Sus scrofa: one gene and its partner. Each later gene encodes a partner of the first gene's protein in a complex. Links are inferred from orthologs where the notes say so. Each region holds a gene or a part of one and is shown on either strand. Other genes may lie near its edges. The genes, in order: NTRK1 and NGF.

Region 1 (3,807 bases):
TTCAGATGGGTGGTTTTACGGTTTGGGATGTGTTGTGCCGATTTTGAGATTATTGGTTGTGCTCTAGATTTTTCAGATCATTAAATAAATGATCCAGGAGAGCCTGCAAACCAGCTCTCGCGGAGGAAGTCCATTCTCTGCTCTATTCTCTCCCACACCTCTTTCCTCCCCCTCCCTTTCATCCCTCCTCTCTTTTCCATCTGCAACCAGAGGGGCTCCCCAAAGACGTCAGCCCCAGCCCCTGCACCCCGCCTCTAGCCCCAAGGCAGCTGATGTTCTTCTGGATTTTCTCCTTTCTTCTCTGACCCAGCAATCTGGGAGTCTGCCGTCCTTGGGACTGACCCTGGCCCATGTCACCAGTGACCTCAATAGGAAGAACGTGACGTGCTGGGCCGAGAATCATGTGGGCCGGGCTGAAATCTCCGTCCAGGTCAACGTCTCCTGTGAGTCCCCAAGGCTGCCCTGGCACGCACCCCCATCCCATCTTCCCCAAAGATGTCAGCCCCAGCCAGGGGGCTGGAGGAAAGGGGTGGGATGTGTGTGTGTCCACAGCTGCTCCCTCCCAGCTGTTTCCAGATTCCCATGAAAACCTGATCCTTTGAGGGAAGTCCTGTGGGCTCGTCAAGGCCAGAGGGATGGAGATGGATTTCTTTTTGGCCCACTGCCCAAGTCTTGCTACCTGAGGCCCTCGACACCAGCTGCTTGCCCGTTCTCACTGCTCCACTGTATTTCTTCATATCCATCCCTCTGTCGAACTTTTGCCCTATATCCTAGGTTTTTTTTTTTTTTTCCTTTTAGGGCCACACCCGCGGCATATGGAGGTTCCCAGGCTAGGGGTCGAATCAGAGCCACAGCTGCTGGCCTACGCTACAGCCACAGCAACACCAGATCCGAGCCACATTTGCAACCTACACCACAGCTCATAGCAACGCCAGATCCTTAACCCACTGAGCGAGGCCAGAGATCGAACCTGTGTCCTCATGGATACTAGTTGGGTTCTTAACCCACTGATCCAAGAGAGGAAATCCTAAACAATAGCTATTCTTACCAGCACTTCAGAAGACACTCCCTTTCTCTCCCCGCTCAGAAGCCCATTCTTCTCCTGCACCACATCCTGACTTTTTGATTTTTTTTTTTTTTGGTCTTTTTAGGGCTGCACCCATGGCATATGGAGGTTCCCAGGCTAGGGGTCTAATCAGAGCCAGAGCTGCTGGCCCACACCACAACCATGGCAATGCCAGATCAGTGTCACATCTGCCACCTACCCCGAAGCTCATAGCACCTTTAACCCACTGAGTGAAGCCAGGGATCAAACCCACATCCTCATGGATGCTAGTTGGGTTCTCAACCCTCTGAGCCACAACGGGAACTCCCATCCTGAATTTTGTGATAATCGTTTCCTTGCTCTTAAAAATAATTTTACACACATATGCTTCTCCATCAACATGGTTGAATTTTGCCTGTTCCTGTACATCATATAAATGGAATGACACCTCATGTATTACTTTGTGTCTAGTTTTTTCTGCTCAACGTTTGTAAGATTTATCCATATTAATGGGGGTAACAATTAGTTCCTTCCATTCACTGCTGAATAGTATTCCATTGCATGAATGCTGGCTAGAATTCCAGTACCAATTATATACGTTTATAGATGTATATATATATATATATATATACATATATCTTTTCTGTTATTGAAGAGCTTTTGCCTCTTTTGGGTCTATTTCAAACCCTTATCTTTTTTCAAGAAGTTCTTTAATTGTTTCTTGTTTTTCTTGTTTCATATTTAGGCCCCCTCCCAATCTTTTTTTTCAGCCACGCCTGCAGCATGTGGAAGTTCCTGGACCAAGGACTGAACCCTCACCACCGTTGCAGCCATAGCTGCTACAGTGACAACACCAGGTCCTCCACCCGCTGTGCCACAGGGGAACTCCCCAATCCTTTTAATGTTAATTACACTTTATTTTTCTCCATCCCTCATCCAAAAATCTCCAATTTCCAATAAGCTGGTACCCCACTGCTTTAGGACTCTTACTTACTTACATTCAACTGACCACCGAAGTTCTTTAAGCTTCTGAATTTTATGCACCTGCTGCCTGATTTATTTAAGATTTACTGTCACCTTTCTTCAAAATGTCTCTCCTTGTGAATTTCTTAGGGCCTGCAGACCAGTTTCTCTTAGGCCCACCCCCCTGATTTCAGGCTGTCCACCCCCCTCCCCCACCCCAACCTGAGACTTGTCAGGTCAGCACTGGGTTCCCTGCAGCTGCCTCCTGACTCTCACTGTCCCCCTCTCTGGCCCACAGTCCCTCCCATCGTGAGCCTGCACACAGCAGTGGAGCAGCACCACTGGTGCATTCCCTTCTCGGTGGACGGGCAGCCCGCACCCTCCCTGCGCTGGTTCTTCAATGGCTCCGTGCTCAATGAGACCAGCTTCATCTTCACTGAGTTCATGGAGCCGGCAGCCAATGAGACTATGCGGCACGGCTGCCTGCGCCTCAACCAGCCCACCCACGTCAACAACGGCAACTACACGCTGCTGGCTACCAACCCCTTGGGCCAGAATGCCTCCTCCATCATGGCCGCCTTCATGGACAACCCTTTTGAGTTCAACCCTGAGGACCCCATCCCTGGTGCGACCCTGAACCCTGTCCTCACCCTCAGGCTCTACTTGGGTACAGATCCAGGTGACCAGGGATGCCCGACCCACTTCCTGCTGTGATCCTGCCCTCAGAAGTTGGAGTGCCTGGTCCTGGACAGAAAGGAGCCTGGAGATCTGGTGTCCAGCTCTGCGCTGGCCTCCTTGCTCCTACCCCAGGAGTCCTGAACCCCTGAGCAATTCTATTCTCTCGGGCTGGCTGAAGAGAAAGCCAGACACCAGGGCATCCCCCGCCCGGCTGGAAAAGGGCCACATGCATCTTCTCCTTTGAGGTCGGCAGCTCTGCCTCCTGGCCCCGCCCCTACCCCAAGAAGGGATGAGTCCCAGAGGGGGAAGGGTCTCACTGCTCTCTAACCTCATCTGATTGCTTTCTTTCCTCCCTCCTGCTGCAGTCTCCTTCTCGCCAGTCGGTGAGTAGCCCAGGCTGGAGGGCAGGTTCTCTCTGGTCCCTGGGGCAGAGGGTCCACTTATCCTGATCCCTGAGGGGTCAGCCGGGGCCAGGGTGGGGAGCTGGTGGAGGAGACAGAGAGTGTGCCAAAGCCCACACTTCCTGCCCTGTGTCCCCACAGACACCAACAGCACATCTGGAAACCCAGTGGAGAAGGATGAAACACCTTTTGGGGTGAGCTTGGAAAGCGGAAGCTAGTCTGGGACTCGGGATCAGGAGGCTGGGCTAGAGGCGCACCTGCATATAATTTCTGGTCAGAGCATGGAGATCACAAGAGTCTGATCTGAGCTTCGGTGGCCTCCTTCACATCGTGGCCTGGGGCCTCCGGGGGGAGAGGAGGAGGAGGAAGAGGCAGGCCTGGGGGCTCGGTTCTGGGCGTCTATGCAGGATGGAGAAATGTTTTGCCGGGGGAGCGCTGAAAGCCCAGGAGAACCCCCAGATCTAACCACACCACATCCCCAGGTCTCGATGGCCGTGGGCCTGGCCGTTTTTGCCTGCCTCTTCCTTTCTACCATGTTCCTTGTGCTCAACAAATGTGGACGGAGGAACAAGTTTGGGATCAACCGTGAGTGGGGGGCTGCAGAGGGGCTGTCAGTCTGCCTGGAGCTTTGTTTCCTGCAGGCTCTTCCCTCTCTGTCCTCTGTGTGGGGGCCTGGGCCCCCGTGGAGTTCCAGGGACTGTGTGTTTGGGGTACGGGAGG
Region 2 (3,907 bases), about 12 Mb from region 1:
TGAATTTGTCCTATTGTCTGGAAATTCCTTTGTTTAACTGACGGTGATAAATTTCCTAATGGATCACCCTGACTCTGATGCTGCTTCTACAGAAAGGCCCATTCATGGTGGCTCCGGCTGCTTACACTCACCTCCAAAGTGTTCCTCCACCAGTTTGCATCTGAACAACTCAAGGGAAAGAGGCTTTGCTGGGAAATAACGAGGTCGTATCAAAGCTCAAACGCTCTTCTGAGTCTGGGGTTTTTCTCCTACCTCATCCCTCTCAGAGCATACATATGTGGGTGAATAAAGTATGGGAGCAAAGGTAAAACCAGAAAGAAGCGGAAACCTCAGGTTAGTCTGTGTCAAGTGCCTAAGCGGGGCCTCACGTGGCTCAAGTGCCCTCCACTGGGGGACAAGGGCCACCCTTGGACTTAAAGCAGGAACTCCTGTGCCTCACTAAATCCCAGTGCCTGAGAGTGACCTTCACCTTAATTGTGCTGTCAGAGCTTCACCCACAAAGGGAGTCTCTGCCTGCCTCCCCCCACCACCTATCTCTCTAACTCTCTTCTCCAAGCCTTCCTCCCGTGTGGCATCAGGCACAGAGGAGGGGTTCTGTATGCAATTTGCTCAAGGAAGAAGTGAAGACACCTACATACAAGCTCAATACCAGGGGACGGGGGTGTGAATTTTCAAAGCTCCATGAATCCCCCAGAACATTATTACAATTAATGATGCACATTTGGTGGAAATCTGACTTTAGGGATATTTCTGGGCTATGGGTCAGACAAACTCCCTGGTCAAGCTCTGAATCCATGGAACCCAAGAAATCTTGGTGGGCCAGCTACGAGATCCTGCCTAACTGAAAGTACGGATGGCGGAGAAAAAGAATTTGGGTAGGGCTTGGGGTGGGGCAGAAGGCTCTCTGCCTGGGTCAGTTTAGAGTCACAGAACTTTTGCAAAACTGATGAAAGTTGGGAACCCTCCACCCAGAAAAACCACACATCACACAGTAGACAAATCTGCTTACAATTTCAGAAGGATCAGGCACCCCGGAAAGGAAGCTTCTATAATCAGGGCCTGAAGGTAAGGCTCTGATTCTAGGTCCTAATGCCTAAGTGCCCTGCCCCAGGGCCTTCTAGCTGGTTCTGCTGTAGGAGCCACAGCTCTCCCTGTGTCAGAGGAGTCAGGAACCTGCATCTCCTGGAGCTCCCCTGGGTACTCTTTTCTCCCAGGGTGACAGGAGGCGTCCTGGGAAAAAAGGTCTCTGGGCTTTTCTCTCTTGGCTCCCAGGAGCTGGAGCAGCCCAAGCCCAGGGCACGAAGGATGGCACCAGGCAGACCCCAGAGGAGCTGGAAGCAAGGCGCGGGCTGCCGGCTTCGCAGGAGGGAAGGGAGGGGAGGTGCGGGGAGCTCCCGGCGACTCCGCCCACCCCCAGCCAGTTGGCCCTTTGGCGTCCGAGGCCAGCACCCCCGCCTGGTGCCCCAGAAAAATCCCCAGCCAGTAGGGCTTTGCAAGCGGCCCCTCCAATGCCGATGCATTTCCTTTTGACCTCTGGAGGTTTGACCCCCAACCCTGGCTGGGTCAAGCCCGCCCTCCCGGGAAAGATCGCTCTCTGGTCCCCAGGACCCCTACTGGCGGGCACCTCCGCCTGGCTGGAGCAGGTGCGGGGCTGGGGCTGCGGAGGGTTGGAGTGGGGGAAAGGATTTGGAGTGGGTGACTCAGGAGTCCGGGAGGAGGGGCTAAGAATTCAAGAAGCCTGTGTTAGAGCAGCTCGGCGCTCCGGCACAGCAGAGAGCGCTGGGAGCCAGAGGGGAGCGCAGCGGTGAGTCAGGCTGCCCTGAGCCCAGCCCGAGAGGGGCGCAGCTCGGGCACCGGCGCGGTCCGGCGTGGCTGGGCTCCCGGGGAGAGTATGCGTGGATCCCAGTGTGGCCAGATCTCTGGGTGCCCCGGAGGCTCCCATGGGCTGAACTGCGGCCGTGAGAGGAGCGTCCCAAGTGGGTGCGGGAGCCTCGGCGGGTGGGCGAGTCGTGGGGAGCAGGGCTCTCTCAGGTCGTGGAGTTCCCAACCTCCCGATGGCCCGAAGTGCGGGAGGCCACTCTGGCGCTTGAAATCGCTGTACGGCGGTGCCAAGGACTAGCTCGAGGGCTAGAAGGGGGACGGCACTCAAGTGAGAGAGAGCGAACGAGTGTGGCGAGAGGGATGCGCGGGCTGCGAGCGCGCCGGGGCCGCAGGAGTGGTGATCTGCACGGCGGAGTGCGAGTGCAGGGCGCGCGCGGGCTGGGGTGTGTGCCTAGTCCCTCGAGTGCTACGCTGCCCCCAGGGAAGGGGATGAGCGGGCAGGGGGCCCTGGACCTGGTGCAGGGCATGAAGCAAGGGTCTCCGGGTTCCTTCGCCGGTCGCTGGAGAACTGGGAATCCCCAGAGAGGGCCCCAGGGGTTGTTAGAGGAAGCCTGCTCGCCAAGGGACTCCATGCAAGGTCCTGCTACGTGGGTTACACGCCTCACCTCCAGCTGTCTGCTGCCAGGTGCGGGAGAAGCTAGTATGGAGGGGTGGGGCGGCAGTGCCTTGGGTCCAGACGGCAAAGACCTAGGGGAGGGAGAGACAGGACTCCGGGTCGCGAGCGGCATCTTTGAGCCATCGTAAACAAGCGGCTTCACTCTGATTACAACTCTCCTTTTTCTTTCCAAACAACAACAACTGAGATTCTCATGGAAGGTGTTTTCTGCTTGAACTTTTCTCTTCTCTTGTGATTTGAGAGATTAAAAAAGAGCTTGCTTGCTAGGCTGGTTTTTCCAAGTTGTTCCAGGTTGGAAGTTGTAACAGTTTGTCGGATAATTTATGGGTGTTTCATGCATTAAAGGGTATTACAGTAAAGCCTTTGGGTGCTATGGGTATTAAGAAAAACTTAGTGCACGTTCCCAGCGGGAAACCAAAATAGGACTCTCCTGGGTATCTCTGCCCCCTCCGTCATCTGAGGCCAATGGAAATCCTGGAGAAAAGGCACTTGATTAATTGTCCTGGCTCCATCCTCTGGGCACACCCACTGCCAGCGCCAGACACCTCCTCCCCCACTCACATGTATGGTCAGCTGCTTTCTCAAATTCAGAATGGCAGTGGCGGGCCCACCAGTATCTTCTATTCCGGGTCTTCAAACTTGAAGTTGTCAGTTAAGTCTGCGGCCGGAGGGGACTACTTCTTCCTCTCAGCGCAGAGGAGGGCAGCAGCCATTGGACCCTGCCAGCCCTTCCTGTGCAGTGTCTACAGTTTGAACGTCTGAAACTTTCCCCTTCTGAAGAGCCAATGAAGAAAGGCTACATTGGATCTGCATGGGTCTCTTCTGCAGAAGTCATACGTCAGCCTGGCCGGCCCAAATGTCAGTCCATTATGGGATCTGTTCCCAGAGGTTCAGCAGCAACTGAGGACTAGGGGTGGGGAGTGTGAATGGTCTGGGGGCTGGGACTGGCCCTGCTGGCCTTGAATGTGGCTCATACTTGGGTCATTGAAGGGGGTTGGGATTACCATCACATGCTGCCAACCCCCCCCACCATGATTTTCCCAACATTTTTAGGCAGGTGGGAAAAAGGGCAGTCTTGATGGGGAAAATGTTAGGAGGCACCACAAATCTCTGAGGCATGGGGACTCATGTTTTGATAGAGCTATAGGAGTACCTCAGAGGATTTTATAGCCAGCTGCTTGTGCCATGCCTGCCCCGGCAGCCATCCTACCCCAAAGCAACCCAGGCCCAGACCCACTAGAGAAATGGCAAGCTGGGTCCACTCAGGCAGCTATCCTCATACTGGTGACTCTTTCGATATCCTTAACCTTTGTCAAGGAGTGAGGTTCTCAGCTTCTCCTGTTGCCCACCACATGTCTCCCCCACCCAGGGGGCTGGAGGGAGCAGGGGATGAGGCTTCACACTCTCCTC

The links.
Region 2: the proteins of NTRK1 (region 1) and NGF are in contact, whole or in part, in a crystal structure (PDB 1WWW), measured with the Homo sapiens proteins. The link is inferred for Sus scrofa from reciprocal best matches to the Homo sapiens genes NTRK1 and NGF. Residues at the interface, in NP_002520.2 of Homo sapiens: His291, Val294, Glu295, Met296, His297, Cys300, Pro302, Phe303, Ser304, Leu333, Glu334, His343, Gly344, Cys345, Arg347, Thr352, His353, Met379, Asp380, Pro382; in NP_001424474.1 of Homo sapiens: His125, Pro126, Ile127, Phe128, Arg130, Gly131, Glu132, Phe133, Ser134, Ser138, Ser140, Trp142, Tyr173, Phe175, Arg180.

What each region holds. Positions count from the first base shown.
Region 1 is NC_010446.5:93,224,231-93,228,037, reverse strand, and holds part of NTRK1 (high affinity nerve growth factor receptor), read left to right. Parts: intron 1-310; coding exon 311-443; intron 444-2,306; coding exon 2,307-2,633; intron 2,634-3,051; coding exon 3,052-3,069; intron 3,070-3,228; coding exon 3,229-3,281; intron 3,282-3,569; coding exon 3,570-3,672; intron 3,673-3,807. UniProt on the Homo sapiens protein: Receptor tyrosine kinase involved in the development and the maturation of the central and peripheral nervous systems through regulation of proliferation, differentiation and survival of sympathetic and nervous neurons.
Region 2 is NC_010446.5:105,254,986-105,258,892, forward strand, and holds the start of NGF (beta-nerve growth factor), read left to right. Parts: upstream 1-1,705; 5' UTR 1,706-1,804; intron 1,805-1,822; exon of another isoform or gene 1,823-1,976; intron 1,977-3,907. UniProt on the Homo sapiens protein: Nerve growth factor is important for the development and maintenance of the sympathetic and sensory nervous systems.